Astyanax mexicanus: one gene and its partners. Each later gene encodes a partner of the first gene's protein in a complex. Links are inferred from orthologs where the notes say so. Each region holds a gene or a part of one and is shown on either strand. Other genes may lie near its edges. The genes, in order: sf3a1, sf3b3, sf3b4 and sf3a3.

What was found.
Region 2: sf3a1 (region 1) and sf3b3 share a complex: the UniProt entries of both Homo sapiens proteins name them as parts of the 17S U2 SnRNP complex. The link is inferred for Astyanax mexicanus from reciprocal best matches to the Homo sapiens genes SF3A1 and SF3B3.
Region 3: sf3a1 (region 1) and sf3b4 share a complex: the UniProt entries of both Homo sapiens proteins name them as parts of the 17S U2 SnRNP complex. The link is inferred for Astyanax mexicanus from reciprocal best matches to the Homo sapiens genes SF3A1 and SF3B4.
Region 4: the proteins of sf3a1 (region 1) and sf3a3 are in contact, whole or in part, in an NMR structure (PDB 2DT7), measured with the Homo sapiens proteins. The link is inferred for Astyanax mexicanus from reciprocal best matches to the Homo sapiens genes SF3A1 and SF3A3. Residues at the interface, in NP_005868.1 of Homo sapiens: Ala161, Phe162, Asp165, Val166, Leu169, Thr170, Phe173, Asn177, Phe181, Gln184, Leu185, Lys188, Phe195; in NP_006793.1 of Homo sapiens: Glu80, Phe81, Glu83, Phe84, Tyr85, Arg87, Leu88, Ile91, Lys92, His95.

The regions. Positions count from the first base shown.
Region 1 is NC_064419.1:31,893,621-31,901,265, reverse strand, and holds the start of sf3a1 (splicing factor 3A subunit 1), read right to left. Parts: upstream 3,498-7,645; 5' UTR 3,274-3,497; coding exon 3,232-3,273; intron 2,113-3,231; coding exon 2,003-2,112; intron 1,750-2,002; coding exon 1,539-1,749; intron 1,406-1,538; coding exon 1,148-1,405; intron 978-1,147; coding exon 903-977; intron 684-902; coding exon 533-683; intron 1-532. Other genes in the region: ccdc157 (coiled-coil domain-containing protein 157), read left to right, coding at 3,648-3,895, 4,354-4,513, 4,920-5,360, 5,659-5,881, 5,996-6,073, 6,739-6,911, 7,513-7,645. UniProt on the Homo sapiens protein: Component of the 17S U2 SnRNP complex of the spliceosome, a large ribonucleoprotein complex that removes introns from transcribed pre-mRNAs.
Region 2 is NC_064416.1:23,362,614-23,370,512, forward strand, and holds the start of sf3b3 (splicing factor 3B subunit 3), read right to left. Parts: upstream 3,554-7,899; 5' UTR 3,430-3,553; intron 2,857-3,429; 5' UTR 2,804-2,856; coding exon 2,734-2,803; intron 1,933-2,733; coding exon 1,777-1,932; intron 1,580-1,776; coding exon 1,409-1,579; intron 879-1,408; coding exon 706-878; intron 560-705; exon of another isoform or gene 478-559; intron 398-477; coding exon 256-397; intron 147-255; exon of another isoform or gene 68-146; intron 1-67. UniProt on the Homo sapiens protein: Component of the 17S U2 SnRNP complex of the spliceosome, a large ribonucleoprotein complex that removes introns from transcribed pre-mRNAs.
Region 3 is NC_064410.1:32,706,483-32,714,417, reverse strand, and holds the start of sf3b4 (splicing factor 3B subunit 4), read right to left. Parts: upstream 3,225-7,935; 5' UTR 3,160-3,224; coding exon 3,126-3,159; intron 2,505-3,125; coding exon 2,376-2,504; intron 1,324-2,375; coding exon 781-1,323; intron 387-780; coding exon 213-386; intron 77-212; coding exon 1-76. Other genes in the region: rab25a (ras-related protein Rab-25a), read left to right, coding at 4,883-4,919, 5,198-5,393, 6,337-6,530, 7,382-7,462. UniProt on the Homo sapiens protein: Component of the 17S U2 SnRNP complex of the spliceosome, a large ribonucleoprotein complex that removes introns from transcribed pre-mRNAs.
Region 4 is NC_064410.1:278,500-286,660, forward strand, and holds the start of sf3a3 (splicing factor 3A subunit 3), read right to left. Parts: upstream 3,550-8,161; 5' UTR 3,422-3,549; coding exon 3,326-3,421; intron 2,793-3,325; coding exon 2,745-2,792; intron 2,641-2,744; coding exon 2,588-2,640; intron 2,498-2,587; coding exon 2,392-2,497; intron 2,282-2,391; coding exon 2,209-2,281; intron 1,884-2,208; coding exon 1,792-1,883; intron 1,706-1,791; coding exon 1,623-1,705; intron 1,385-1,622; coding exon 1,246-1,384; intron 679-1,245; coding exon 610-678; intron 1-609. UniProt on the Homo sapiens protein: Component of the 17S U2 SnRNP complex of the spliceosome, a large ribonucleoprotein complex that removes introns from transcribed pre-mRNAs.

The DNA of each region.
Region 1 (7,645 bases):
CTATCTGGCTACGTGCCTGTGTGATTGCGTCATCACGCACTGAGGTAGCACAGCTATGGGGGCTGAATGTGTTTGGCTCTGCGGCGAGCTGACGCCAGTAAAAAACGCCTGTCCGTGACAGATTCTGTACATAATACATATCGATATACCACAAAAGTGATATCACCGTTATTGAAACATTTCTTATCGCGATAAATACCGATATCGAATTATTGTCCAGGCCTACAATAACATACCAAAAGTCATTTGATAGCAGTATATGAACTGTTCATTTAGTACCAGTATTGGCTTTTTTATTTAATTTATTTTTTTATTAGTTTAGTTATACCAGGGTATGTAGTCTTTATTCAGGTTCCATGGGCCACAGCAAAATTTATGGGACACAACACTAGTTCCTATCCTTTGACATTTGCATTTTCTGTGTACACTGCTACAGTTAACTGACTGTAAAATGTCTTATTTACAGTACATACAGTGTACCTGAAACTGCTTCAGTTAATCTAGTTTATTCACTTAATCTGGACACATTTACCTTGCTCATTGGGCTGGAAGTCAACTGTCTCCACAACAACAAAGTCATGCCAGTCAATCTGAGCATAAGCCACACGCTCTCTCTCTCTCTCCTCTTCCTCTTTCTTCCTTTCTCGCTCCTGGAACTTGGCCCATTCCACCCTGTACCGCACCTGAAACAACAGAAGCAAATATTATAAATCAGTAAGGCCTTCATGGTGTACTCTATGTGCAAGAACAACAATTTAAACAGAAATAAACAGTGTGTCATTAAAATATCATTATTCTTCAAAAATAACTCCTGAATACCATTTTTTTCTTGCCTCTACACAATATGTATTGTGACATCTTGTTTATCGGAGATTAGATTTTATGGAATGAATAAGTCTTACCTGATCCAGAACCTCCCGTGGATTCTCAGCCTCCCTTTTGAGTTTCTGCAGAAGTCCTTTTGGAGGAATCAAAACCTTTATTTAAAAAAAAAAAACACACACAAACCTCAGAGTGAGCACAAAACACTTCACAATTAAACAATACACAAACAAAATTCATTCATTTAGAACATTTTTAAAAGTTACAACAAAACTTACAACCATTTGAAAACTTAGAGTTATTACAGATGGTCTCATCAATCTACCTTTGTGTACTGTTCCACCAGTTTGGTGAAATAGTTGAAGAGGCTGTGCTGAGGCCTCAAAAAGTCAAACTGGTAGTTCCTCTGTTCTTTCTGCATCAGCTGTGTGAGAAACTGACGGCCATTGCGGGCGACAAACTGAGCTGTCAGCTTCACAACATCTAGGTCAAAGGCTGAGATGGAGGGAGGATCAGCGATGAACTCAAACTCTGGAGGAGGCTCCTTCGGCACAATTGTCTCATGGATCACCTGGGCTTGGACCTGAAGAAATATTGACAAATAGGGAAAATTACAACACTGGAACAAACAAAATTTTACATGTTATAAAGATTTTATAGACAAATAAATACAGGAAAAGTATTGGATACTCTACATTCAGATGCTGGAAACTTACCTTCTGTGGAAGCTGCTGTTGGGATTGCTGCAGGGACTGTTGCTGCATAACCTTAGGCACCGCCGCCGATGGCTCCTGGCCTTTTCCTTCTTTGAACTCATTAACTTTGTGGCGGTAGTAAGCATGGTAAGGATCATTAGGGTTGAGAAAATTAAACTTTGGGTTGTTGATCTCATTCTGCCGAATCCTTGCTTCAAACTCTGGGCCGTTCCTGTGGATGACATGGGTTCAGTAAGGTACAAGCAATGTTGTGAAGAATTTACCTGCATACATATATTACACAAAAAGTGTTTGTTAAGTTAACCTTTCATTATACTTTGTAGTCGCACCTCTGTACAGTGTGGAAAAGGCTCATATCTGTTTAATAACTTGTCCGATTCAGTGGCTTTAAATTTTAAGCATTAAGTAAAGTGAAAACCATGGCACAATACATCAGATAATATGAAACAGACAGTGCACCAGACCTGGCTACGAAGCTCGCAGTCTTGTCAACGATATTTCGGACTTCAGGTGGTGGGTAAATGATTCCCACAATGGGCTTAGTTGCCGGCGTCTCATCTTTCTGTTCATCGCCCTGCAAAACAGAAGAAAAAAAATTATTATTTATATAGAGAATGAGACAGAGAGAGAGAGAGAGAGAGAGAGAGAGAGAGAGAGAGAAAGGTGTTGGAATGGTTTATGTTTATATAAATATCAGAAAAGGACAATTGGAATTGCACATCGATCCACAGCTTGGGAAAAAAATTGTCCTCGTCACCCAGACAAGCCCACAATCGGTCCTGGGTGTGGAATCGTTTATACAGGACGGGTTATGTAACATAGAACACCCTAAAAAAAAGTCATGGTGCACGTATACTGCAGTATAGCCCGTTTTAAAACTTTAAAACACCGAAATGTTAAATGTTTTATCTGTTCAACTGGAAAACCAGGGGAATTGTCATTCAGTTTAATAATTTAAATTCTTGGCTTAACACTATAAATCCAATACTAATCAAAGCATTAACGTTTTATATTCTACATACTCTTGACAGTAGAAACATTTTCAATTCATTTCAATTCAATTCAATTCAAATGTAGAATCCTGCAATAACGTGGTGTACCAATCTTGTTAGTTACTTAACTAAGTTAACGCTACATAAGATGATTAGCTAACGTGTAAAACACAACTCTTTCATTGATTTTGTGACTACTCTAATAGAGAGCTCGAAATACCCATTAAATAGCTAACGTATCCACTGTTTTCGCCGGATTCCGCTTTTTACCTGGTCCCGACTAAACTAGTTCGTTAGCTAGCTAGTTTAGCTAACATAGCTAAAATGCTTAGCTAGAAAAGCTAAACCAACGTCAGCTGTTAGTACATAAACATATATTATGCCTTTAATAGTATTTCTCTGCGCTTGTTTTTAGATTTAAAAGCAAACTGCAGCCAAACACAGAAATAAACAATAATTATTACTTTATTTATTAGCAAATTCAAACTTAACACAATAAAAAATGAGACAGTTGTCTAACGAAGTAAAAGCTAAGTTAGTCTTAAAGTCTATAGCGTTAATTAACCTAGATAGCTAAACAGTTAGACTTAACGTTAGCTGGCAAAGCACTACTTTTCACACACATTAATACCTAACGAAAGAACTATGAAGGAATTAATGGGAAAATCACTATACAAACAGTAAAGTCGCTGTTGGCTCACCTTGTTGTTGGGCTCGGGCTGGCTGATCTGAACAGGCGGCATGGCTGCCTCTTCAAACTGGGCTGGGATTAGAGAAAATCACACTCACACACAACCTTCCGTCCTCAATACCACCCTGTTTACCACACAGATCTCTTTTGTTCAGCTGAAACACTCATTTATTGAGTTTAAAAACAAAAAAACCTTCGATAATTAACGTGCGCACTCCGCCATCAAACCGGGGTAGGCGGCCTGCAGAAAAACACGATCACATCCGGGACACGGACTGCGGGTCACTATGGGAAGTGTAGTTTCTTAGAGTGGCGTTAGGACTACAGGTAGCCACGGTGACGGAGGAAACAGAGGAAGCACACAGTATTGTTGAAAAATAAAGAAGTTTAAAGTGTTTCTGCGCTTTCAGAAAGCTGAATGGGAGGATGACGCATCTGTTAGGACGCCAGGACTGCGTGGAGAGTCTCCGCAGGGACGTTATCGACCTGCAGGCGGCGGTTCTGGACGTGTTTTCTCGAACCGGGCCGGTCCGCGTTCCATCGTGGAAATTCCCCGATAAGGTATCGTGTAATGTGGACCTGGTGCAGCTCCTGCAGGAATATGACTATACTGAGGGAGAGCCTGAGTTCAACCAGCACTCACACATCGTCTTGCTGGAGCTGGTGATTGACAGGTAGGTGGGCGTCTGACAGTAATGCATTTTTAAAATGCAAATCAAATAATGCAATTTATATTAATTAGTGATTTCAATAAAAGAAGATAATCAATAAAAGAAAAACAATAGAAATTTGTGATGAATCACACCTTTTCGTTTTTTACACTATTTATTTGCTAGTGGGTATTTCAATTAAAATAGAGTACACTTAGATTTGTGTTATTGTGCCAATCATTTAAAATACACCTCTGGAAAAAAAAGAGAGACCACTTAAAATTTCCCAATGATGATTTTACCAAATTGAAAATCTCTGGAATATAATCATAAGAAAGATGGATGATCACAAGCAATCAACCCAAGCTGAACACACTAACACATAATCAGAATGTTATAATATGCCATGTTATTGAGCTTTTTAATAAGTGTTAAAAAGTTTTAATAAGTCTAAGAAGTGTGTGTTTACTTGTCTGTTACAGACTGATGCTACTGCTGCAGAGTTTTAACATCTACACAGAGATGATGATGGGAGATCAGAGAGGCCATTCTGGCAAAACTGGGCAAGGGGTGTCCATCGGGCCAGTGGTGAAACGCTATTGGACCAACCTCGTCCGGCTTAGCAGCCAGCAGCAACAAGGGGTAACATATGAAATGTGTATATACTGTTAACATAGTGCATCAGGTCCAACTAACATGCTGACTTCATGTGGTAATACGCAGTTTAATATATTTTTTTTATAATAATTTAAAATAATGTCATTATTAATTACATTAAAATTACTTAATAATAACTAACTCATAAAAAGTTATCAATGAGCTTTTTATGGTTAAAAGGGAATTAAAGGGAATTCAAAGTATAATTATGTAACAACAATGACAGCACTGCAAGTAAGTAACAAATAATCAGATATTGTTAAGTTAAGTTTGCATTTATTAAAGCTTATTACTACAAAGTATTATTGTTTCCAATATTGGGGCAAATCTGATTTTATGATTTAAATGTTTTATGTCAAATATGAGCAGAGTTTCTTTTTCTTTATTTTAGAGAACAACTAGTAAAAACAGCCAGCGTTCTCCATCTGCTCCTCAGCACAGCATCTCACAAACTGACATCACTTCATCCACTGCTAGAAGTGCCCTGAGCACCCCAGCCTCCAAACTACAGAACCAACGCCCAGCCTCCTCCAGCCCCAGCAGGACAGCTCCCCCTGCCCCTGCCTCTGAGTCCCGCAGTGTGAGCGTTCAGACAGTGGAGTCTGCACTGGTGCCGTGTACAGCCTGTGCCCGCGTTCAGTCCAGTCTGAAGGAGAGTGCAGAGGCGTGCTTGTCTCTGTGCCGGGCTCTGGGTGTGAACTCCTTCCTGCAGCACCTGCTGATGGCTGTGGAGGACACGGAGCAGCTGGGGCGTCTCACTGCAAGTGACTTGGCTCAGTGGGCATGTGAGCAGCGTAAAGATATGGGGCGCATTGAACAACACATTACTGAGGTGAGGTGATCAGGTGTTGGTCACAGTAATCACAGTTCAACAGATAAAATGTGTTACTATTACTATTCTTGCTTTTCTGTTATTTTCCATTTATATAACACACCTCTGAAATGTCTTATGATTTTCTAGTTGGAGCAAATAACATGTTTCATTAGCCTTGTAGCTTCAGTGTTAAAACTAAATTAGATAATTTTAGACTTAACTGTTTGTTTATATTCATAATTTTCATTTATCTTAATCGAAACTTAATCGAAAGTTAATACAAATACTAATGTGACCAGTTTGTTTTGAATTGGAGGTGAAAGAAACAGTGGATTCACTTAGAAACAAACTGAAAAAAGCAGAAGAGCAGAGAGGGAAGCTGAGGGCTCAGCTGGAGCAAGAGAAGGAGAGAGCAGAGAGAGAAAGAGAGGAGAGGATGAGCAGGGAAGAGGAGTGGGAGCGCCAGCTGCAGGAGCTGAAGACCAGAGGAGAGGTGATGCAGAGGAAGCTACAGGAGGAGCAAGAGGAGATAAAGAGAGGTCAGAGCACTAAATTTTAAATAAATTACAGTCATTTTTCAATAAAATATCTATCTAGTTATCTATCTATTTTACAACCAAAACCTGCAGGTAATTTTCTTTCTTTTTTTTTAGGAGCAAAAGCTTTAGAAATAAGAGTATCAGAGCTGAGCAGAGAGCTGGAGCTGCAAAGAGAAACACAGCAGTGTCTCCGTAAGCAAACAATGAGTACAACTTACTGTCCACTTTATCAGAAACCCTTTGAAGAGGCTGTAGCACACCTGTGAGCAGTGTGTACAGGCCTTATCAGTTTCTAAATGCAGAGCCACTTGTAACTAGATATTTTTGGGTGGTGGACATTCTCTTAATCTAGCAGTAACACCCCAGCAACACACATTGTATGTATACGTTCTCTACATGTCCAAAAGTATCCAGACACAACAGAACCTCCATAGAAAAGCAGTGGTCAACAGAACCTGGCACTTCATAATAGCTTTAAGCACATAACCCTAAGGTCACGATGCCCAACACTGAGGGAGCTAAAGGAGTATAAATCTCCCCAGAATTTTTCTGGAGTGATAGAGCTCAATCCAATACTTTTAAGAGGCAGTATTAATCATATAACTTCTGTACTTGACTTCACTGACATTATCACTTTTGCAATTGAGTAATGCAATCACATCCTCCTCACAACAATGTTAAAGATCTAATGTAATAGTTTTCCATAAGTGTAGACATTGGTATAACAGATGTCTGGATATTTTTTCGAGCACCAGTTTAATGTGTGAGTATGGTGAAGGACGCTAAAAGGACTTTTAAATGTGTTGTGCGTGTTGTGTGTATGTGGCCATGTGTTAACAACCCGTTTCTCTGTGCAGAGTGTGAGAGGGATTCTCTGGTGGAGGAGGTGCACCGTCTGCATCTGCAGGAAGAGGAGAGGAAGAGAGAGTATCAGGAGAGCAGGAGAGAGTTAGAGACGGAGCTCAGTAACATTCAAACACTGCTGGACAAGGAGAGCGCCAAATACCGCAGTGCACAACGTCAGCATGAGGTGTGTAATTATCAGTAACACAGTTCTTGCCAAAAGAGCTGAACTGTAAGAACTCAAATGCAGTTGTATACACGGTATACATAATATATGTTCAAATGTTTGTGGACACCTGTCAACATTCATGTACTTTAATTTGCATCTATTGCTGACACAAATGTGCACATGCATGCACACAGTTGGTCTAGTCTCTGTCGACAAGTACTGCCAATAGAATAGGACTCTCCGGAGCAGATAAGCATGAAGCTTTTGACACTGTGCCTAGTGCCAGGCATGAGCTAGAAGGTTATAAAGCTTCCAGCTTTGTGCTGTGGAGTACAGAAACCGAGATCTCTGCAACAATGGTGCTCCATCCAGTACTTTTGGGATGAGTTAGGGAAATGAGGTCCATCCTGAACTCATTAACACTCTTGATGCTGAATGCTGTCAAATACTCACAGTAATGCTCCACAAACTAGCGTAAAGCCTTCCCTGGACAGTATGTAATACCTTCATTTTCAGAAGCAATAATGAATGAGTGTATGTTCCAATACTTTGTCCACATACACATATATAAAATGATAATGATAAAATGTGTGCGTATATGTTTGTGTGTGTGATATAGGCAATGCAGGTAAAGCAGCATGCTCTGCTGGAGCGTGTGGATGCGTTAGTGCAGCAGTGTGAGGATCTGCAGACTCGTTTGGAAGAGTGTGAAGACGAAAGGACAGAGCTGACACACACACTCACACACACCA
Region 2 (7,899 bases), on another chromosome or scaffold:
ACACAAAGCCACAGGGAAGAATTAGTAAAGTATCAAGATATCAGCATATATATAACCAGATTAAGTGAGTAGAGATCAGATAGCTTAAATGTTCTCTTCAGCATCAATCAGAGAAGAGACATGAAGATATTCATCATTTCAACATCACTACCAGAAGTGACACACACTCAACCAGAAATCAGAAAAGTGTTTTCTGAACCAGTCATGAAACCAGGAGACTAAGGAAAGGGGGAAGGGGGTCATATCATGAATTACCTGTGATGAGGAAGTTGCCATGTTCTTCTAGAGCCTCACTGTACTTGCGCACAACATGGTTGAGTCCCAGGTCAAGCTCATAGAAGGTCAGAGTCTGCTGTGTGTTGGCTGCTGCCTCTCCTGTGGGGTCATTATCAGCTTCCTAAACAAGACAAGGGTGCAGTACAAAACAGTAATGAGAAGAACGCTTCATGTTTTATGCAGTTGACAATACTGTGTACTTTCAGTGATCAGAGGTTTTTTTTACATTCTCTCCAGTAATTGGTCAGAGAAGAGACATGAACAAACTCATCATTTCAATAAAACACCACAGATCTACCTTTGAAAACACACATACAGGTGATCTTTATTCCTACGCCAGTGCGTACATTAACAAGTCCTCAAAAACAGAAGCGTGAAGAGAATCACACCACAAAAAGTTAAGTCCTCAAGTAGTAGTAGTCATCTTACCTCATAGTCCATCTCAAGGCAGGCAAACATGGGGTTCTCAAAGCCCACATCCACCCCAACCACATGGTAGACCAGGGTGTTGGCCTTGTGTGCTTCCAACGGAGAGGAGATGGTGAGACGAGCTGCAGCATCTCTGTTCAAGATATACACCAACTTCTGCTTCTCTATGGCACCTGTGGGGATGATAAACAATACAACTCAGACGCATGAACATTCCATTCACTGCTCGTAAAGAGAAATGGTGATTCACAATGCAATGACCTTGAAGTGTAAATAGTTATGAAATCAAAATTGCAGCACATAATCTATACATTAATATAAGTCAAACTTTGCACAAATCTAAACTTAAGTGGAATCCTTCTATCCTCAATGTTTTGTTTCACACAATTAAACTGCTCACAGATAATAACATGTGAATCAGGAGTGATATCTTAAGTGAGCCTGAAATACATAAATTTACAAGGTACTTGCAATCCACACTTTCTGTAGCATTGTATTTTCCAATCACATTTAAAAAGCATGTTTAAGACAGTGTTGTGGCCTTTATCCCTTAGTTTGAGCTTATATCAAAGTGCATCAAAAGTGCAGTGTTAGACTAGCTGTTAGTGTACATACTAACAATGCCACAGGGCTTCTTCAAACCCAAGACAGATAAAACAACCACCTTAAATATAAAACACTTAGCAAAGAACCAGAATTTTACCTATCATTACAGCTCTGCCTTTAGGGTCCACAGCCAGGAATTGCCCGGGAACGATGCGTCTACATCCGCTCTTGCCAAAAGTCTCCTGGTGCACCTTTTCAAACATGTTCTTTGAAGGATGGTACTCCAGGATAACAATACGTCCCGAGTCACTTCCCACCACGATGTAGTCTTAAAATTAAGAGACACAGTCCAATAAACAAACCATTTTTTTTTATTACATTGAATAAACCACACATCAGCAATTTACCTGATCAGTAATTTTACATTTAGTTTCGCAAGCAACTTTAACAAGATCTTACGGCTGGTTTACCCAAAATTATATTGAACTGTAAACAAACTAACTCAGTTTCAACATTCACACTAACCTTTCGTGCCACCAGTGAGCCTGAAGGCCATGAGGGAGCGGACGATGCCAAACACCTCCATGGTGAGCAATGTGTGAACCTTGCCTGTGTTGGCATCAGGACGCAGCAGCTCTAGAATCTTTCCCCGGGAAACCACAATCTCTTGCAGTTTCGTACCTAGAGACAAAGAACGTCATACAGTTAATTGCAAGCAAAGTGTTTGATGTGGATTTGCTTAAGCTAACAGTGCTACTTCCACCCCCTTCTGGAGAAACTATTAAACTAAACTACAGGTGAACAGTTACATTAAATTAAGGATTTAAAGGTTATTTATTTGATAAAGGGCATTTATTTCCAATTATAAAATATGTACCCCTAGTAGTTTGAAAAAGTTCCTTAGTTTTTTTTTTTTTTACCATTGCTAAATGTAATTATATAGAAACTTCCCATTTTTCAAATTCTTGGTACATTTAAAAAAAAAATGTTTGCTTTAAAAGAAGTTTTAAAAACCTAAAAATCAATAAAAACAAAAAAAAAAAAAAAGACAGAAATGGGGGTCTCAAACTCTCTCAATTAATAAGATCAACATCTTAACATACCAGTACAGTCTTTTTTTTAATAAGCAAATGGTAAGTGCCTCCCATTAAATATTTACTAGAACTCAGGGATATGTTTATTAGTGAAAGTAAGAGCATTTCTACATGCACAATGTGAAGGAAACTCAAGGGATTAGGATTAAACTGTGTAACCACTCATCAGTGAGGTTAACTGGCAAAGACTCTGGAGCAACAGAAAAAGGCCATGTGGTCTGATGAATCCAGATTTCCCCCTTTTCCAGAGTGAGGTGCACATTAAGGTAAGAGAGAGACACCCATCAGGTCTAGTGCCCACAATGCAAGCCTGTGGGGGCAGGGCTACACCTCTAGAGTTAAACATTACAAATCACATATTTAACATGGAAAAACGAAGACCGTATACCTGAAAAGTTCCCATGGATGGCATGAGTGATGCCAGTGGCACGTTGTAATGTCAGGTTGTACAGAAACATGGTGGATGTCTCTGGGCCCCCTCAGGCTTGGATGAAGAAAGTTACTGCTGCACCTGAAACCCAGAAAGAGGCCTCATGTGAGATCAACAGAAGAAAGCAGTGCACACGTTCTGGGCTGCAAACAGAGAAATTTTGAAAGCTAATAAAGTCTTGTTTTTCTCCAGATGTAATCTACCTAACGTGCCTAATTGATCAGGTTTAAAAAAAATAAACTAAAAGTAGCTAACCTACTGTTACTAGGGGCACAGCTGGCTAGCTAGTTATCTATGTAAACTACAAGCTTGCTAGCATTAGCTAGCTAAACCACCTCAAATGAATGGGTTAGCTCGCTTAGCCGCTAGTCAGAATGTTGGTTTATTAAACTAAATGTATATACTTTACCCATAAAATACCCACAACACGTAAAAACTGCACGTATATTAGGTTAACGTGTCTTTATACTGCAGTATTATTAAACTCCGCGCTGTTAATAACAGCCTGAAACCCCGGTTACCCGCTCAGCCTCTGCTAGCAAGTGAAGCTAACGCAGAATTCTGAGATAACTTGATATTAAACCGCATCATGACACATATATGGCTATAATATCGCCGTTTAACTGGCGCTGGCGGTGTATGCCAGGGTTTTACCGTTTCAGCAGGCAGGATGGTGCAGATTTTCACCCGATGAGAAACTTTTTGTTCGTTCGGCGTTTTGTGTTCAAACGCCGCTCGAACGACGGGGGTCCTTCCTGCTGTTAGCCCTGTGTCATAGTCGCCCTGCCATTTGCCTGCTGAAAAGTCCAGCCCGCTACAAGCCTTACAAAATTCATATTTCAGATTTATTTAAAAGACAAAAAATGCTTTAAAAATCCTTAAAAAATAATAAATTAATTAATAAAACAATTAGCCACATATAAAGTATCAGTCAAAGGCTTGGACACACCTTTTCTCTTTAAATATATATTTTTGTTTTTAAATTATTCTTTACATTGTAAATGTAATATTTAAGACATACGCTATACAGGATTTTGTTGTAAACAAAACATGTGAAACAAACCAGAATATGTTTTATACTTTTTTTTGTTTACTACGCAATTCCATATGTGTCCCTTAATTCGTTTGATAGATTTAATGTTACTCTACAATGTAGAAAATAAATTAAATAAAGAAGTAAAGAAAAACTTTAAATGAGAAGGTGTGTCCAAATTTGGAAATTAATTCAGTTTCTTCTCCCCATTGACACAACCCTTTTTTAAAACCTCTCTCCTTCAGCAGTTCCCACAGATCACTGAACACTGAGAGTACTAGTAGCAATTTCTCACCAAAAAGCTGAGTCTTTTTTCTTAGTCCATAGCTTGTCCTGTTTATCTTTGTATACTAATTACACCCTGCTTCATACCATTGCTAACATTGCTCACTACATGTTTCATTCCTGTACTTGTTGTTTGTTACTGTGGTTTACTGTGCAAACATGGGTCAAATCATCTAAACACTGCAAATGTGTTAACAAGCTGTGGTACTGTGAGAAAAATAAGTGTTACTACTGACCATGCAGAGTGCATTGAGCCCTTTCATTTTTTACCTGTAAAATATGGAAATTACTCATATTTTTTGAAAGATTAAATAAATGTGCCTAATAACATAAGTTTTCTGTGTAGCACAGTATAATTATATGGGGCATTTGTGAATTAGCCTTCAGCTTAGGCTTTATTAAAAATAATTTTCAAACATTTCAATTATTTTTACACATATGATCTGTTCACATCACCTGTTTTAAATCACATTATTAAATAAGGTTTCTTCTTCCTAGGCATGAAATGCAGGAATGGATGTATATAGAAATGAAATAAAGGTGACCAGATAAAACATTAAATATATTGGGTTCATACTGCTTGTCATATTGTCATGCTAAAATAAAAAGTAAATGAGAGAACATGGCATTTTCCATACTGTCCCAACATCTAATTTGATGCTGTTCATTTTGTTAAATTACACAGTTTTACTTATACCTTATAGAATAATAGAATAAATAGATTTTTTTTTTTTACTTTTTTAGGCTGGCTGTGAGCATGGCAGACTTTTGAATGTGTGAACACTTAACACACCAAAATAAGTGCTAGTATATGCATGGTTTAAATAATGGATTTATATTATACTTATGCTGTAACTCATAATAAAATTGACTAGTTTTTTTTAATTAAAATTTCACTTGTAACTTTAATGCTAAATGAGAATATGAACCACTGCATGCCGTTACTTAAACTTGATCCATCTAGCTCTCCAACTGAGAATTATTTTTTCTGAACCATCAAAAAAACAATAATGGAAAAACTGAATGGTCTCTCTTTTGAAGGGACATTGTTTCATACCCTTTAGTTTGTTCCTATTGAAATGGTTTAGTAAATTATATAAGATGAAAAGCCATTTACCTCAGAATTCAAACACAAAAAAAGACTATAAATATTATACAAACTGAAAGGTGTGACCACACATTCACACTCTTATTCTTAAATGTTTTATACATGTATATATACATATATTATTTTATTGTTTACTTAATAAATTTGCTTTATAAACTTTGCTCTCTTTTTAACTGTCACAATGAGACAAGGCTCTGGAGGTTGTTTGTACTTTTCCAGGAATCAGGTCAGAGTGTTTTCATCAACAATGAGAGCTGTGAGGAGAACATGACCCTGAGTGGCAGAGAAGCTTCACTGCTGTTCTGAGACCAGTGTATATAAACTAGGAGACAACACAAAGCTGAGCAACACCATGATAAGAACGTGTTGCCCAGACAGGCTGGAACTGATCATGTCATAGGAACTGGAAAACAAGCTGTTAACTGGACACTGCTGACGTAGGGATATTGATAGATTCTATCCAATTTTATTGGACCCTATTGATTAACATGCAATTTGCAAACACGTATAACTGCTTGGATGAAGTCTGTGTTGGGTTAGGGGAGGAGACGCCCAAGGGTCTTCACTCCCTCGCCTGGCTTTCTCTTTCCTTTTTTCCTTCTTTCTCTGGGTTATGAATGTGCTGACCTATTGAGATATAATTATACTATGTGTTGACTCGTTGATGTACTTTTACTCTTTTCTAATGTACCTATTTATCTATGTTTATTCTTTATATCTGTAATGCTGAAACTCTGAAACTATTTTTTACAGTAAACTTTAATATATTTTAAATTCTAAACTTTGACTCAATGGTCATCTTTTTAAATTCTGGGATATTTTTTTAAATCAGAGTTTTATCTGCGTAATGCTGTGGTTAATTGCCCTACAATACTATGCCTTTAATACAGTTGTATTGTCATAGTTAATTATAGTTCTTGTTTTCTATGTTCTTACTTCATTTATTATTCAAAATTAACCATAGACCATAGATGTACTCACATATAGTATGAGGTTACCCAATAAAAATAGTTATAGAACAGGAGACCCTCGTCCACGCGATGGCGCCATTGCATATGTAAACTCTCCCTGCTGTTTAATGGAATTTCAATGTGGAGATTGGAGGAGGGTGATGGAAATCAAGCGACCGAGAAATCAGTTTAGGCTAGCCTCGGCCTGTCCAGCCCACAGTGGAAAATGAGCTGTGCTGATTATGTTACCAGTTACACGACTATGAGGCGATTTTTTCTATCAAAACATGTCCAGAACAACGAAAAAGCAGATTCAGTTTTTACATTCAGAGCTATTAGCCCGCTGTAATCAATCTGCTCGCTATGTCCTGAATAGCCAGCGTGCTCTCTTTATTCAGTTAGCTGGCGAAACCCTGGAGCTCTAACTCAAGCCTGTCCAAAAGGAGATAGATGTGAGGAATTCCCAGTTTCCCACAATCTTTACCTTTACAACACTTTTGCCTTCTTTTGCCAGCTTACAGGTAATTGTGTTGCATTCTAAATGTGTCTAAATGCGTGTAAACGTGAATGCGTGCAATGACACGCTGAAAACCGCGTCGTGAGACAAATCAGTGCCCTATCACAGAGCTCAGTGGTCTTCAATGAAGACCCTCCGTTGTTCGTAGGGCATTATGGGATTTGTCGTTTCAAAACAGTGTATGCCTCCGCGCTGGTTTGGTATGAAAAACACTTCTGAGTTACATTGCTCTCGAATTGTAAAATTAAAGCTATTTCAGGGCGCATTATATTGAATCGGCTTTTGATTTAATAGAGAGTTCGTCAACATTGGTGGTGCAGTGAGTGGCTCAGAACTACATTTCCCAGCAGCCCCCTCGGTAAGTTTGGGGAATGCAGGCTGAGGGTATCTTTTTCGGGGGTGCTGTGAAAGCAGTGCTGTCTGAGAGATTCAGGGACTATTTTCTCCACGTTGAATTAGCTAGAGGCCGACACACACATATATACACACATATACACATACACACACTTAGCCTTAGCTTGTCAGAGCTGCAAAACAGACAGGACAGCACATTCCCATCACATCTGGACAGGGCGAGCAGGACCAGGCTGGACATGAAACCTCGCCTACCAGCTGAGGATCCATGTGAAGAATATTATTATTCATATGGCAGCAGCTGAGTCTTTCTTTATCTGCCGCTTCAGACTGGAGGACTGGAGCGATTCAGGACTGATGGGAGAGGAGGAGGAGCAGGGGCTGTGATTTCCAGGCTGAGCCCAGCAGCAGCTCAAAGCTGTGTTTGAAGAAACGAGAAGAAGGAGGAGAAGAAGAGTTTTGCATCCCAGACACGAAGGTAAGGGACCGGATTCTCATAAACTGACCCCCTCTTTCTCTCTGTGTGAGTGCTGTGTGTATAAATGCGCTGATTCAGAGGATGAACCTGAGGAAGATGTTCCTGACATGCCTGATATTCTTCTTCATGATCACTGATATGGTCATTATCAGAGGGTTGCTGTGTCCAGGCTGTCTGCAGTGCTGCTGCATGAAGCCCACTCTATCCTCTGCTCTTTGTATCCCCCCTGTGTAATTTATGTGGGGGTCTCGGGCCCTGAACTCCCGCCGGTGTGCCAGCGTTGCTAAGAGACAGCGGGGCTGCAGCACAGGATAGTGGAGATTTGCATGGTGCTGCTGCTGCTGCTGAAAGTGGAGGTCTTTCTCTCTCTCTCTCTCTCTCTCTCTCTCTCTCTCTCTC
Region 3 (7,935 bases), on another chromosome or scaffold:
GTGGTACCAGGGGGGCCAGGGGGTGGTGGCACCATACCTGGTGGTCCAGTAGGGGGCATTGGCATAGGTGGCATACCTGCCAAAATAAAGGTCATTAATACAAGATTTCAAACACAGCAGTGAACAGAAACATATACATCCTAAAATAAAAACGCGAGTAGTTGAATAAAAGTCTCGCCTAGTAAAGCAAAGTTTATAAATGGTGCTTTTACCTGGAGGGTGCATTCCAGCAGGTGGGAAGGGCGGTGGTCCTGGGGGAGGTCCTGTAGCACCGCCCTGAGGGGAAGGTGTCCCTGGAGCAAGGGGCATGGGCATGCCAGGGGGCATTCCAGGTGGCATTGAGCCTGGGGGTGGCACAGGGGGGAATGCGCCAGGAGGAGGCATGCCTGCATGAGTTAAATAAGGAGTTAGAGAAAGAGAACAAACAATCAGATCTACTTTCATAAGGTTTTTAATCCCCACAACATCCCTGTATCAGTGCAGGTGTGTGCTTAACATAAAGATGTTACAGGATCAGATCAGAATTATTATTATTATTTTTTTTTCCACTGAAATCCTTTACAGAATTTCTACTGATAAGTCAAACATCAATCCATACACACCCACTCCCACCGATATCTCTATTTCCCATTTTCTCATTCTTGCCCTACCATCCCCACCCTCCATACCTTTTATACCCATTACACCGAACCCAAGGTGCAGTGCTGCAATTTGTATCACATAACTCATTTGTTCATAAATTAAGAAAAATATATATTAGAAATCCAAGTAATAACTGACCTGGAATGGGAATGGCTGCTCCCAGTGTGGTCATTACAGGCGTAGGTGCAGTGGGAGGGGGCGGGGCATCTGCAAACAGCTGATGTGGCCTATCAGCCTGCGAGAGAGGGTTCTGTGCAGCCAGGAGACGCTCGGCTGCTGAGCCGTGCCTCTCACCTTTGGAATCCTTCTTAAAGGCGTAAGAGACTGTGATGGGTCGATTACAGAGGTACTGGCCATTCATGGCTTCAATTGCAGCATCAGAGGCATCAAAACTGGCAAAGTTGATAAAAGCGTAACCCTTGGAGTTGCCTGTGTCCGGGTCACGCATAATCTTGGGTGTCTGAAGGATGACGCCGAAAGCACTGAAAGTATCATAAAGCAGCTTCTCGTCGATTTCGGGGTCCAAGTTCCCGATGAAGATGTTGGCACCCACGTCTAAGTTCTTGTTGTGTGCTGAAGCTTTGTTGACTCGTATTGGTTTACCATACAGCTTGATCATGTTCATGATCTTTATGGCATAATCAGCATCTTCCTCACTGAGGAACTCCACAAAGCCATAACCTATTGAATATATCACAGAACATGTAAATGAACAAGTTTGACATCATTTGCATATGCAGGTTAAATGTGTGGTTAGACCACACATGAATATTAGCTCCAGAACAACACCTTCCAAAAAATAGTGCACAGGATGGCACTAAAAATTATTCAGGAGAGCAAATGTTTGCACTTTATAAATGGTTATAAACAGTTAATCGGGAGACCACTTGCTGGTTGAAATATGACTGGAAGTTTTCCTAAAGCTTAGAACAGATTTATAGATAAAGTCACACCTTTCAACATAGAACCAATCAGCTTGTTGGTAACACCAGGAGAGGCGTACTGTTAATAAATTTCAAACAACTGATGACATGGCTGTAGAAAATTACACAAATACATTCAAGTTTTGGACAGATGCCTTTCAGTTTGGGATGGTTGTGAAAGAAGTTCACAATAATAGGAATGCAGATATTTTATAATTTATTAGGCACAAAGCAAAAAAAAAAAAAAAAAAAAAGAGAGAGAATAATGAATAAGACAATGAGAATGCACCAGCATTAAGCATTTTGGAGTGGAGCAGTGTGGAGCTCCTTAAATCACTCACTGCAATACACTCATATACTAATATAATTAATAATTATAAAAATGCACATAAATCATTATAATAATGCAATACATGGTTAATATGTCACTGTCTTTGTAAAGAATATATTTTGACTTGAAGCAATAAACATGCTTTTTAATGTAGTTAAATTGTAATGTTCAAGTACAACTTTCCCAAAAGACAACCATATAATTAAATTAATGTGCTGACACTTGGGTGAATTACTTCTACAGCTGTAAAACATATATAGACAATATGGCAGTAATACAATTCGTAAAAGAAAAACCTAGTCTGTTTGCTGCTTACTGTGCCCTGTTAAGCAGCAATTTCTTTTGGGAGTGATTAAAATACCACCTACCACTAATTATTTACTACATAATCAATTTTTTGGCAGCCACGCATCAGTCTGGTGTAGTGTTTGACATTTTTTGTGCAACCCACAAGCTGTGTGTCAGAGTGCTGTACTCACCCTGATGTTGCCCTGTGACTCTGTCTTTGGGCATGTGTGTGTTGACCACTGGTCCAGCTTGCAGGAAGAGTTCCCACAACAGCGGCTCCGAAACCTTTTCATCCAGACCGCCTACATATACCGTAGCATCTATGACAACAAAAAACAGGAAAACCACTTGTTTAGAAAAAATATATTATTTACATTAATGAATGGATTGTAACTATGAGCTTAAACTGGCTTCTTTCAGAAGTTCTATTTTAAAGTAATGCACTGAAGAGACAAATCAAATAACCCAAAAAAATCTGATCATTTGTTTGCTAAGTTAAATATTTAACTAACGTTAAATAGTTTGCACGGAAACAAAACACAGCGTTAGCATTAGCTAGCTTTAGCGAAGAATCAATGAATGAACTGCTAAGCTTTCCCGAGAACCATCCAGCAGATCTAGCGGTTAATAAAATAAACCAGAACCCGTATGGCTATATAACCACAGAGTTACACATTTCCATTTCTATTTATTTTTATTTCCATTCTCATCAGTATACTTTACAGTATACAACTTTACCTGGTTAACGTTAGTCTGTTTAAGAGTGAGTAAAGAGCTGCACTGTGACATAAAGAGCACGAGCTCCGAGAGTGTGATCATCACTCAGAGACAGAACCCAGCAGTCAGTAAAGAACGCGTGTCCTGTATCTATTAAAACACATTCAGACCGATATTTAATAAGATCTCTAACATCAGTAAGAGTTTTTTATTCATTTTCTTACCCTGGTTTCTTTCTGATATCGGACCCGCCGCCATGATGAACGACGCGCTGGCGGAAAAACGGAAGTTTGCGGGTGATCCTCTTCCGCTGCTAACACGTTTAAAAGTCCTTTTACTTTATAGATGTTCATCGTTTTAAAATAATTTACTAAATATAATTACAATAAATAGTTTCACCACACGAACAGGACTTTCTGACAGACATACACAAAAATAAATTTTAGTAAACAAAAGCTTTAATAAATATAATATTTTTACAGTGCTGCAATAAACATGGCTGCTGCAAACAGTGAGAATTAAGTTTATATTTTATTATACACAATGCACATTAGTAAAATCTGCCATTTCGTAAAATTATTTCTTTTTAAGCAGCTAATTATATTATTATATTGCCTGCTAGGAAAAAATACAGCATTTTTATTATAATAAAAAAGACACATATATTTGTTTATATACAGTTATATATATATATATATATATATATATATATATATATATATATATATATATATATATATATATATATATATATATATTTCATTTTTTTTGATGTCTCAAGCTTTGGTTCAAAGGGCTAAATATAGTTACTTTTACTTAAATCAAAGTTTATTAAATTAGTATTTTGCCTGTGTAAATGAAACTGTAACACAGATGGAATGCATTAGCATTGCCCACAGGGGACTAAATGATAGGCATGTTGAGGTGAGTAAATACGACTATATATGTATATGTTCCAAGTCCAGGTCCGGGGGTACCTTCCTGAAATAAATTTTTGCAACTTGGGAAGTCTGGGAATGTGGCCTTTATATATAACAATCAGTAAACACACTCATACACACTACCAAGCAAACACACACAGTAAACACTGAGATTACATAGCCAGAGTAAATGGCAGCAGTTTAGAGGCCAAACCTGCCCTAAAGATTTTTCTTACACCCTCATTAGATCCAGTGCTAAAGCAGTCCACATCCAAAGAGCATGTGACAGTAATAGTAACCATGCTTTTAACTGAGCAACTGCACTGTCAAAGTTTTTTTTTTTTTTTCGAAAGACACACTCAAAAAAAAAAAAATCAGCCTTCAAGGTAATAAAAAAATAAGAACAAATTCACATTTGACCTGTGATTGCAAATACTATTGCTTGTATCTTAGCTTGATCTGAACCTTTTATTAGTGGACAGATATTTTTTTTTTTACCAAATGCCAACTTTGGTCAAAAGTGTCTCTTTATAGAATTGTTTTTAATTTTATGTCAGTTTCATAATTCACAACTTACCTCTAGAGCCCTCTATTACAACCTTAGCCCCCTTGGCTAAAAAAAATCTACACAAAATAAATAAATAGTTCTCACTTCTCTGTAGACTGCAATGCAGTTTATAGAAACATCTAGATTTGCATGTGCATCAACCTGTGGTGAATTACATTATACAATTAATATTTATGTTCAATATTGTGATGAACCTAGTGTACCTCTAACTTTTCAGTGGGTAATTATACAGTCTGAGGACACACCTACATGTACTGATAAAAACAGAGCAAGGGCTGAATGGATGTGATTTTGTCACTCCCATAGACATTGTGTGGCGGCTGGTTTAACCTGTTTCTCCAGCTGCTCCACTATCTAAGTTTTGGAACTCAAGGAAGCCACTGCTAGTATGGAATATAACCTGTGACCAGAAAACTGATGGTTTAACCAGCCTGGAGATTCTATACATTTACAGGCACTGATAACTAACATTAGTTTACTGTGAATAGTACAAATGGGGACAGATTTAGGCTACAACTTTGTTTTTAAAGGTAAGACAGCTGATTCTGAGCTTGAACTCTAAATATTTTATCCAGAACTGCATCACTGCTTTTAGTTTAAAGATTTGTTTTGTTAGTTTATTTTGGGTTTATGTTTAGTTTACTATTATTACCTAAGGGATGGGGTTTTCCTCTTTTGGATTTTCTTTTATTGTCTTTAAAATAAATGCTACATTTGAACACTTTTCAGTTTAAAGAAATTGCAATTGTGATTATCCATAAATATTGTTTTTATAATTAATTTCTTCTTTCTCTCTCTCACTCTTTAGTGGTGTTAATTGGGGAATCTGGGGTGGGAAAGAGCAATCTGCTGTCCAGATTCACCAAAAATGAGTTTAATCATGACAGTCGCACCACCATTGGAGTGGAATTCAGTACGCGTACTATTCAGCTGGACACAGTGACCATCAAAGCACAGATTTGGGACACAGCTGGGCTGGAGCGGTACCGGGCCATCACATCAGCGTAAGTACACAACGGTCACAAAAGGCACATTTCCTCTCAATCTTAGAAAATAAATAAATTGGACTGTCTAAGCAATCTCTGAAGCAAACTGTGTGTACAAAAAATATGTTTTATTAACTAAAAATGTAACTAACTAACTGCAAACATGCCAACAGGTCCAAACTCTTATAACATAATAACATTATTCATTCATTCATTCATTCATTTATCTCTTTATCTAGATTGAATGCCCAGCATTGCAATATTGCTTGTGATATAATGACTGTAAACATTTCATTTGCAAATAATTCCTGACAGTTTGTCAGTATATTACCCAAAAAATACACACTTGCAAACATGTATTCATAAAGAGTATAAACACTACACAATAAAGTCTACACAATCTTTTTTTACGTAAATACCATTTATATATTTGTACTTGCTGTCCTGGCATTAATAACAATTTAACCTACATTAGGCTATAAAGGGACTGACATTAAAACTCAGTAATAATCTAGATCTCCAAAACACTAGGTCCTCAGTAATTTAACATGTAACATTTTATCTCCAGTAATCCAACTCTAGGTTCTTAGTAATATACCGTAGGTTTACAGCAATAACTATAGGTTCTCAGTAATCTAACATGTTATTTCTCAGTAATAACACCAGGTCTTTGGTAATCTAACATGTTGCACAGTAGTCTAACATAGTTTTACAGCAGTGACACTATAGGTACTATAGGTAGTAATCTACCACTGGGTCTTTAGTTGTACGTTTTCTCTATCATAATGCATCATAAGACTAAATAACTTTACACTATGATTTAGTTACCTGGAATTAAGATCTGAACAGGCTCTTTGGTAGTAATCTATTGTGGTCTCACAAGCAAGACACTTTATTTATTTCTGCTCCAGCACCACATGCTTTAGCGTAGGTGTAAAGCTGTAATATTTTGTATGTATAGGTATTACAGGGGAGCAGTGGGGGCACTCCTGGTTTACGACATTACCAAGCACCTCACATACGAGTATGTAGAGCGATGGCTAAAGGAACTATATGACCATGCAGATCCACACATGGTGGTCATGCTGGTGGGCAACAAGAGTGACCTGGATATGCAGCGCACCATTCCAACAGAAGAAGCTAAAAGTTTTGCAGGTGAATAAACTCTCAGTTCTATAGAAAACAAAGCATAGCTATTTTGATTGCGTATATACATGTATTTGCAATAGAGGAAATATAGATATTGCACAGTTCCCTTTTTTACAAAGTGTCTGTGAGAGATACAAGGTTTTTTCAGAGCTATACAATAGTGATGTACAGCTCTGGAAAAAATAAGAGACCCCTTAAAAATTATGATTTTTTTTAGATTTTACCAAATTGAAAATCTCTGTAATATAATCAAGAGAATATGGATGATCACAAGCCATCAAACCAAACTGAACTGCTTGAATTTTTGCACCAGGAGTGGCATAAAGTTATCAAAAAGCAGTGTGTAAGACTGGTGGAGGAGAACATGCTAAGATGCATGAATCCTTAGTTTATAGAATAAAACAACAATGTTCATTTTACTCAAACATAAACCTATAAATAGCACAATCAGAGAAACTGATTTAGAAACTGAAGTGATCTCTTATTTTTTCCAGATCTGTATTTAACATATTTAACATTTCATGTTATTTACTAAATAATACTGAACAATTAATAAAGGGCACTACATAATTTATAGTAGATGCTGAATACTTCACTTTGGATACTGGATAATTTGTAATCTATTATAAATATTCAATGTAATACATATTATTGCAATAATAATTCATAGTGGATAGTGAATAAATCATAGAAGATCATTTATAGTGAATAATAAATTGTTTATTAAAGATGCAGAATAATTCATAGTGGACATAAAAAAAATCACAGTACTAAGTACTAACATATATCAGATTTGTGAAGTACTTATATGACAGGAAATAATTGTAGACTAATTTGAGGTGTTTCTTTTAATGCAGAGAGTAAAGACCTGCTGTTTATGGAGACGTCAGCACTCGAATCAACCAATGTGGAAAATGCCTTCCTTCAGGTTCTAACAGGTGGGGTTATCTAGTACTGCTTAATATGAAGGTTTTGACTAGTTTAGAGTGAATAATGTAATTAGCATCATATGTAGCTGCTGTAAAGTAAAAATATATCTCTCTGCACTCATTCAAAATTGTTTAATAATTAAATATACAACCATAACCATAACCAATTACATTCAAAGTACTCCAGATTAAAAAATTAGACTAAAGGTTTAAAATCACCCTTGACAAAGATAGTATGCTAATACCTTTGATGGTATTAAATGTATTGTGAATTGCATTTATATTGTGTTCTAAAAATCCCACAGGTGCTAAAATGTAAAGTTAATTAGTGTGCAAATACAGGCTAATTTATGTTGAATAACAAGCGGGCAGATGTTCAGATGATGGGCTAGCTATTTAGACAGTCTGCAGTTAGCTTTTGTAGAAATGACTATGTACTTGCAAATTGTACACTTGGCTCAATAGCAATATAATGTACCATT
Region 4 (8,161 bases), on another chromosome or scaffold:
ACATCTGATTAGATCAATCTCCAGCTGTACGCTGTATGTAAACTGGTTTTCTGGACATAGGTAAGACTCTAAAATTGACAAAGAATGTTTTAATATGTAATCTCAGAGGGCAGTGCACCATTCATTGTTTTATGAACCAATAAATAAATGAAGCACTTAATCTTCCCTCTGAAGATCTATACCCTGCTCTGCTGAACTCCAGCTGTGATCTGTGGTACGTGTACTGGTGGTACACAAAGCATTTCAGGGTGGTACACCAGATCACCACAGGACATTTAATGCATGCATCACAAAAACATTACAATTTTAAAAGTTTTTACAGCATCAGGTTTGTTTGTGTTTAGTGTTTAACCTGGTTAACCTTGTATTTAAGCTTCACTTTCACACTTCATTTCCTTACAGTTTTATAGATCCTACAACTGAACCCTGTGGAACTTCATCATTCACAATAACCTGTATTAGATCCTGTATAGGTAATAATAGTTGGTACTTTAACGTTTTGGTTTAATCCTGGGCGATAACATTAAAGATCACTTCATGAAAGTCCTCAGGGGGCAATGAACTATTAAAGCTATTAAAGCTGTGTGCGTTCCTGATGGAAAGTCTTACCTCCCAGGAGGAGAAAGCAGAGAGGTCCAGATGAGCTCCAGCGTGGGTCAGAGCGCTGCTCGCTTCTTTCTGTTTCACACAGAGACGCAAATAAACAACTAACTATATAATCTTATTCCTTTACATTTACACAAACTGGTTCACTGGGCTTCCGGCTTCATAGCATAGCATTACTCAGTACTGCATCTATTCACTCCACTAACTCATTCAATCATTTTATCTCATTTTCCTTTGACAAAATCTGACATGTTCTTTTATGATTTGGTATAGGACTGGGCGATATGGATAAAGAAAAAAATATATATACATATATATTTTTTGTTTAAAGAAGCTGATTGGTCAGTTGAGGTTAGAGTGGGCGTGTCTGCTCTAAAAATCTGTGTTTAATTCAGTAGTAATTATTCAATCTGCAGCTGTTTATCAGCGCTCTGATCTCAGAACAGGAGACCTGCTGGTTCTGAACTGTCTGTTTCGCCAAAAATAAGAATCCCAAATAATAGCAGATAATATTTGCTGTAACGCTGTAAACTCATGATGAGATGTTGTTGTGTTTCGGGTTAATTTAATTTTAACCTTAAATTACTGTGGAATTAAACTTTTTTTATTATAACAAACACATTATAAAAATAAACCCACCGGCCAGCCCGGGAAGGTTCCGTTCTCCCACTTCTTCTCAAACTCAACCAGAACTTTTCCATACAGCTCATTCTGATCCAGCAGAGGCTTCACCCGGTCTGTGTAATCCTGCAGGTACTCCAGCAGCATCTCCAGATACCTGACCAACACAAAACAAGCTCAGTACAGGATACCTCCACTGCTTACAGGTAGAAATGGTCTTAAATTTAAAGACATCCACTGTATACAGTATATAAAATAAATACACATACACATATAAACATTTATTAGTATTGTTCAATGTAATAATAGCCATCTATAATCTATTAAATAAAATAAACACTGTAATATACGACACAACATATGGTCACAATGTTCCCATGTGAAATTCGACTTACTTTTTGTACTCTGCATTCTTTCTATCTTTGGAGATGTCAAAAAGCTGATCAAACGAAGACAAGTAGGAGATATACTCCAATTTCTAAAACAGGAACAGAGGAAAACATCACATTAGCAAACAAACAGATAATATATATCTGTTAAAAACAGAAAAAGTGAAAATCATACCTCAGCTCCTTTCAGGTTGATGTATTTCAAATAACAGTCATGAAGATCTAAATAGCGTCCGTAGCCTTCTTCATCAGTGAACTCCACCAGATCTGCACAACACAGAAACACAGTGATGTTAAAACATAAGCCGTGATTCGGGCTGGTTAAAGGATACATGCGCCCATACATACATAAATATATAATAATGTTTCTTAATGGTTTACAGAGGTACAGTGCGACTTCTTATTCATTTTCTTTATTCATTCTTTAAAGTACACACTCTCTGTGTGTTTTAAATGTGTCTTTATGACTCATGTAGTTACTAATGCAGAAATATTGACTATATCCTTTGTACTGTCAGAATAGTTACTGTGATTTAGAGTAATAAATATAAACACAGCAAGTTTTACAGAAGCAATGTTAATATTTACTTACTTTGAGCTTCCTCACTGGGGTTATCTCTGGCCTTCACCAGCTCCTCAAACTCCACCGACATGGGCACACAAATCTGTGAAATTAAAGAAATGTGTAAAAAGGTTTTAAACTGTAATTCACACCCTAAGATAATGTACAGCAATCATGTAATTTTATTTAAATTTAAAAGATAGACTGCAGTACCTCATTAGGATGTTTCCTGTGAAATTCCTTGATCTGTTTCAGTCGGTTATAGAATTCAGCAAACTCATTTGGTCCAGATATCGCGCTCAGCTCTTCCTTCCGCATACTAACAAGACGTAATTACAAGTTATGATGAACAACACTGTTTAGTATCAGTGAAATAAACTGCAGTCAGAGAAAAACAAGCAGTTCTTACCCATCTTTATCATCGTAGGAGTCTCTCAGGTTTCCGCTTACTTCCATATGTCTCTGTGTGTAAAGAAAACAAGAGCAGACATGCATATAGATATAAATAAATGATATAAATAAATGTAGGCATAGGTTTTAATAATACAGAAGTAAAAGAAACTTACGTCCAGCATTGCTCGTATTCGATGGTCGGAATTAATCTGGTCACGCAACTGAAAGAGATGAATAAATAAACAGATAAACAAGTTTAAGTTTACAGTATATTTTACTTTTGTTTTATTATTCTACTCTGTTGTAAATATTGTTCTTTGCCTGTACACATGTTCTCTGTGACTTGACAATAAAAATCTTGAATCCTAAATCTTAATAAATTCTTGAATCAGAACAATAACTGATGTGTTTATAAAGCTACACTAAGCTAACTAACGATAGATGGATATTTTGCTAGCTTCGCTTAGCTAGCACCAAAAAAACTACAAACTAACGACAATTACGTTAAACATATAGAATTCAAATGTCTATAAAAGTTAAATATCCAAACTAGTGCTGTTTATTTTCCTCAGTTGATCAGATTTTACACTGAAATATACTTTATTTTACACAGACATCTCCTGAGTGAGCTCTGTTAGCATGCTAAGGCTAGGTTAGCTGGAGCTAATTAGCAAGTAGCTACTCTTCTCCATTCAAACACACAGAGGATTAGCATTAGCACCGTTAGCACAGATAGCCGGTTAGCTGTAATTACCGTGGTTTTCTTGTGCAGCATCTCCTTAGTTTTAGCGTCCATCAGTCGCTCCAGCTCCTCATGGTAGCGGCGCTGCTGCTCTAAAATCGTCTCCATGATTAAATAAATCGCCCGAATCCCGGGATTTACCGGCGGACTGTGGGCTGTTACCGGACTGAGCGCAGCGCTGCTACTGAAACCGGCTAAACTAGCGGACGCGCGTGTAACGACACGACCCCCGGTCCCGGTCCGCCGCTCACTCACTCCCGCCGGTAAACCGACCGAAACGTTCCGCCTCCGCCGCGCCGCAAAAACACAACACAAAAGTACTAAATACCTATATATGCCCATGTTTATTCAGTAATAAACATTCTCATTGTCTGCTGATATCTGTACCTCTTGCACATTGTTTTATTTTTCATTACACTGCCTTTTTTATCTGATAGATTCTAATCCATATTTCTCACATATTTGTTATAAATATTATGTATAGTATACAGTGATATGTGTTTATCTGTAGATAGGTTTTTACCAACTAATTAATACCCTCAATGCAGGAAAGGACTATAAGAAAGCAGCAAAGTATTTTACAGAACCGTTGAATAAGAAAAATTTAAAACCTTTTTTTAGATTTCAATCCGTTATATTTTTGTGCATACATTAAATTTTGCCCTTTATAGTAGAGTAAATTGGATGCAGTGCTGGATACGGTTCTCTTACAGCTGAAGTAACATGATGAAGTGTGATGTGGTGCCCTCTAGCTGCCCGTGATAGTGAGATAAACTGTGTGTGTACAAGACCTGGTAAACTGTTGTCAATGATGACACAATGTTGGAAAGCTTTCTCATATCCTATCTGTTTTTGTTTTTACATTTAGCCACTCCCACTTTATATTTTTTCATGCTTGGCCTTCAAACAGCCTGAGACTGGAAATAAACACATGTATGAAAGGTTTGAGATGACACTTTAGTTAAATTAGAACACATACCACAAATACATAAAATTGCATGTATAACTTTTGAATCTATTGAACGATTAAAGATATAATATGCGGAAAATAATTAGTTCAATCTTTTTTGAGCAAAATTCATATCCTTTTATGAGCCGTTTGAAAGCCTCCCAAACCTGCATAAAACCACCCTGGTTCCACCCCTCACCCATCAACCCCCACCAGAACCCCGCCCACTGGATCAGTTAAAGAAATGCCATTTCGGTCTGCTGGTTGAGAACCTCAGACAGAACACCGCAGTATTAGCCAGCAGACTTCGTCTGAGGGAGGGATCTGTACCTACTGTCCGGCAAGTCAGCAGATGAGGGGGATGTAATTACTTTCAAATAATGACTTTTGTGCTTCTCTCAGTTAAGTGTTTTGCCATTCAGCACAAGCTAACACTAATGTGTGGGAAAATGCTCAACCTATGGTGGTTTGGCCCAACACACTAAACTAATAAAAGAAAATTTTATTTGGACTTTTAATAACTTTTTTATACAGGTAGGCACAATACAGGACAACCAATCAGAACCAAAGTCAGTTTTAAATGTTATCTCAAAAGCATTTAAATACTGCTAGTTTTCATGTTGAGAGCTTGCTGGTGTGAATCTCATTTTTCTGATAAAAACAGAACCACCTGAAAGCAGAATAATCCCATAATTCCTGAGTGAGAAAGATCACAGAGGGAGGAAGGCACTTCGCTCAGTTAAGCACTTTTCAACATGTTGCAACAAATCCCAGGAGGAAGAGCAGGATATTAGGAAAAGATAGGAAAACAGATCAGATTTAAGGGGAGGCTCAGCTGTTAAAACCTGTCTGCCTTATAATAGTTTACATTTCAAACACTAATAAAATAAACTGAACAGACCAACTGGAAATACTCCAGCTTCAGGATCTGGGTTAACATCGAGCTGTGACCATAAACTATAGATAAACTAGTGAAAATATTCTCTTTATTTATCTTATCTCACTCTCTCTTTATATCTCTTAATTTCTCTTTAATTCAATTCAATTCAAAGAAGCTTCATTGGCATGACTAAATGATTAATTAAAAAAATAACAACTTTATCTTTCTCTTTTTCTCTTTATTTCCTTCTCTCTCTTTATATCACCCTCTTTCTCGTTTTCTCTTTCCTTCCTTCTCTCTCTTTATATCACCCTCTTTCTCTTTTTCTCTTTCTTTCCTTCTCTCTCTTTTTATATCACCCTCTTTCTTTTTTTCTCTCTCTCTTTATCTTTCTTTGTTTATGTTACCCTATTTCTCTCTCTTTATCTCTCTCTCGTTATATATCCCTCTCTCTTTATCTCTCTATTTATATATCTCCATTTTTCTTAATCTCTCTCTCTCTCTTTATAGCTCTTCTCTTTCTCTTATTCTTTCTCTCTCTTTCTTTCTCTTACACACACGCACACTCTCTCTCTCTCTCTCTCTCTCTCTCTCTCTCTCTCTCTCTCTCTCTCCCTCTCTCTCTCTCTCCCTCTCTCTCTCTCTCACACACACACTGTCTCACCGCGCGCTCGGTTGTGTGTCGGTGATCAGCAGTAGCGGTAGTGGGAGGAGAAGGAGAGCGGGACAGAGAGCGCAGCGCCGCCGAGCTTCAGTGTCTCTCCGCGCGGAAAAACCCAGCCCGACCCGGCCCGACCCTCCAGCGCGTCTCTCTCAGCCCCTGCGCGGCGGACAGGTGAGCGGGTTTGGGCTGGCTGTGGAGGGGGAGCCGCGGGGCTCGGTGTTGGAGCCGCGGGACTCGGTGGGGGAGGGCTGCGGGCGGTTGTTGTGGTTTTATGGCCGTTAAATAGCGAAACTACGCCGCTGGTGTTCGGCTGCGGCTCGGTGTCCGCGGAGTTAGGTGTGTTAGTTAGGTTAGCATTAGCTAACAAAAACCACACATTATCTGCGTGTTATCGGTGTTGGCGGCAGAAAGCGGCGGTGACCGGCCCCGGTGGTCGAGGTGGCTCCCGGTTGTATCCGGTGAGGTGAGCCGCGGGTTGTGTTTAATCCGCGGGGCGGGCCGCGTACCGGAGACCCGCGGGGCTGAAGAGCTGTTAGCGGAGTTCAGCTAAACAACCGACACAGATCCATAAACACATAATAACAAATACACACACACACACAAACACACACACATAAAACACATAAACATAAACACACAACAAAAGATATCAGGAAGATTCGATCACACCCACATGTCGGGGAGAAGGTGTGTGTATAGTTTTTATATTGTGTGTGTGTGTGTGTGTGTGTGTGTGTGAGAGTTTTGTCCCCTGCGACACAGGATTTCACACTGGTCATGGATTCCTTTCTGTTTACACACACAGTATAACCACGAGCTGAACCCTGACAGCAAAGAACGTTGAACAAACGTTGTTTTCTTTGGTCACATTACATCATCATTACATCATTTTAAAGTTTAATGAAGAAAAACTACATTGAAACAACCTTTATTCGTCATTGCCTCACAGGCATCGGTTAATGCTGACATTCTGACGTTGAATCAACGTTCACTTAACAATGTTCCAGACTTTATACACTCACAGTATTGCCATGAGCTGAAGCCTGACAGCAAATAACATCAGACAGACATTGTTTTCTTTCATCATGTTTTTATATTTTTTTAATGTTTTCCACGTTTGGTGGAAAAACAACCTTAAAACAACCTTTATCGAACATTACCTCACAGGCATCTTGAAAAAAAAAACTGACATTGAACCAATGTTTATTTAGTTAAAGGCTTTCAATGGTTGGTTCTCTGAATCCATTATGCTTTTAGACAAAAGGTTCTCTCCTCAAATGTCATCTTTTTTTTACAATATAAGAGCACAGTTTAGGCTGTAAGAACTATATAATACAAACATACTTGATTTAAGCAAATGCTGTTTATTATAAACAGTACATATAGTAAAACGATAATGTTAAAACAATGTTGAAACAATGCTGTATCAGCTTAAAACTGATGTGCGCAAAAATAAATCAATACAGACGTGAGATCAGCTTTGTTTAAATGAATTAGAGATGGAAAAATGAACAAATGAACAATGATTCCTTTTTGCTATCTTGTCATTTCCAGGGGATTTTAGCATTTCCCCAGAGAACCCAAACAAAGCTGTTACGGGTGACGCCGCATTACAGTGGTGTGATGTGATAACCAGAATCGATAATGTCCTCTGTGGAAATTTCTGCCTTGAATGAAACGATGCTTCTCCCCCAAACCCCCTTTTCTGAACAGCTCCCCTGAGAGGAAAACATGAAAGGAGGCACCATTGTGTTATAGTATTGTAATACTAGTGCAATAGTGTGAAGACATGTGCTCACTCCCTCTTTTTCTGAAATCAAGGGCATTAAAAAGGAGTTTGGCCCCGTTTGCAGCAGTAACAGACTCTGAGTTCTGGGAAGGCTTTGCACGTAGATGTTGGAACACTGCGTTCAGCTCCAGGATCAGTGAGCAGCCTGGTTCTGAATTACAAAATACACTCCAGCTCACCACCAGCAGCATTCAGAGAGCAGCACTCATTACCTCTAGTGCTGAATTATACTGAATAAACCCTGAACTTTATCACAAAACACTGTAGTAGGTTAAATGGTTTCACTCAGAGACGATGAACAGAATCAGATCAATCCTTTAGAAAAACAACCAGTTATTGATAATTTAATATAGCATCAAAATATAAAAATACAAACTTAAAATCTACTGACGAATGTCAATATACTCCACAGATACAGCAAAACCAGTGCGCTAATAGCAAGTCAATCCTAAGAACAGATCCAGTCATATTTTAAAAGGGAAGGATAAAGGTGGAAACTTACTTTACGCAAGAAAGTAACCCAGACACTTTAAGCTGCACAGACTGTGTTTTACACATTGATTTTG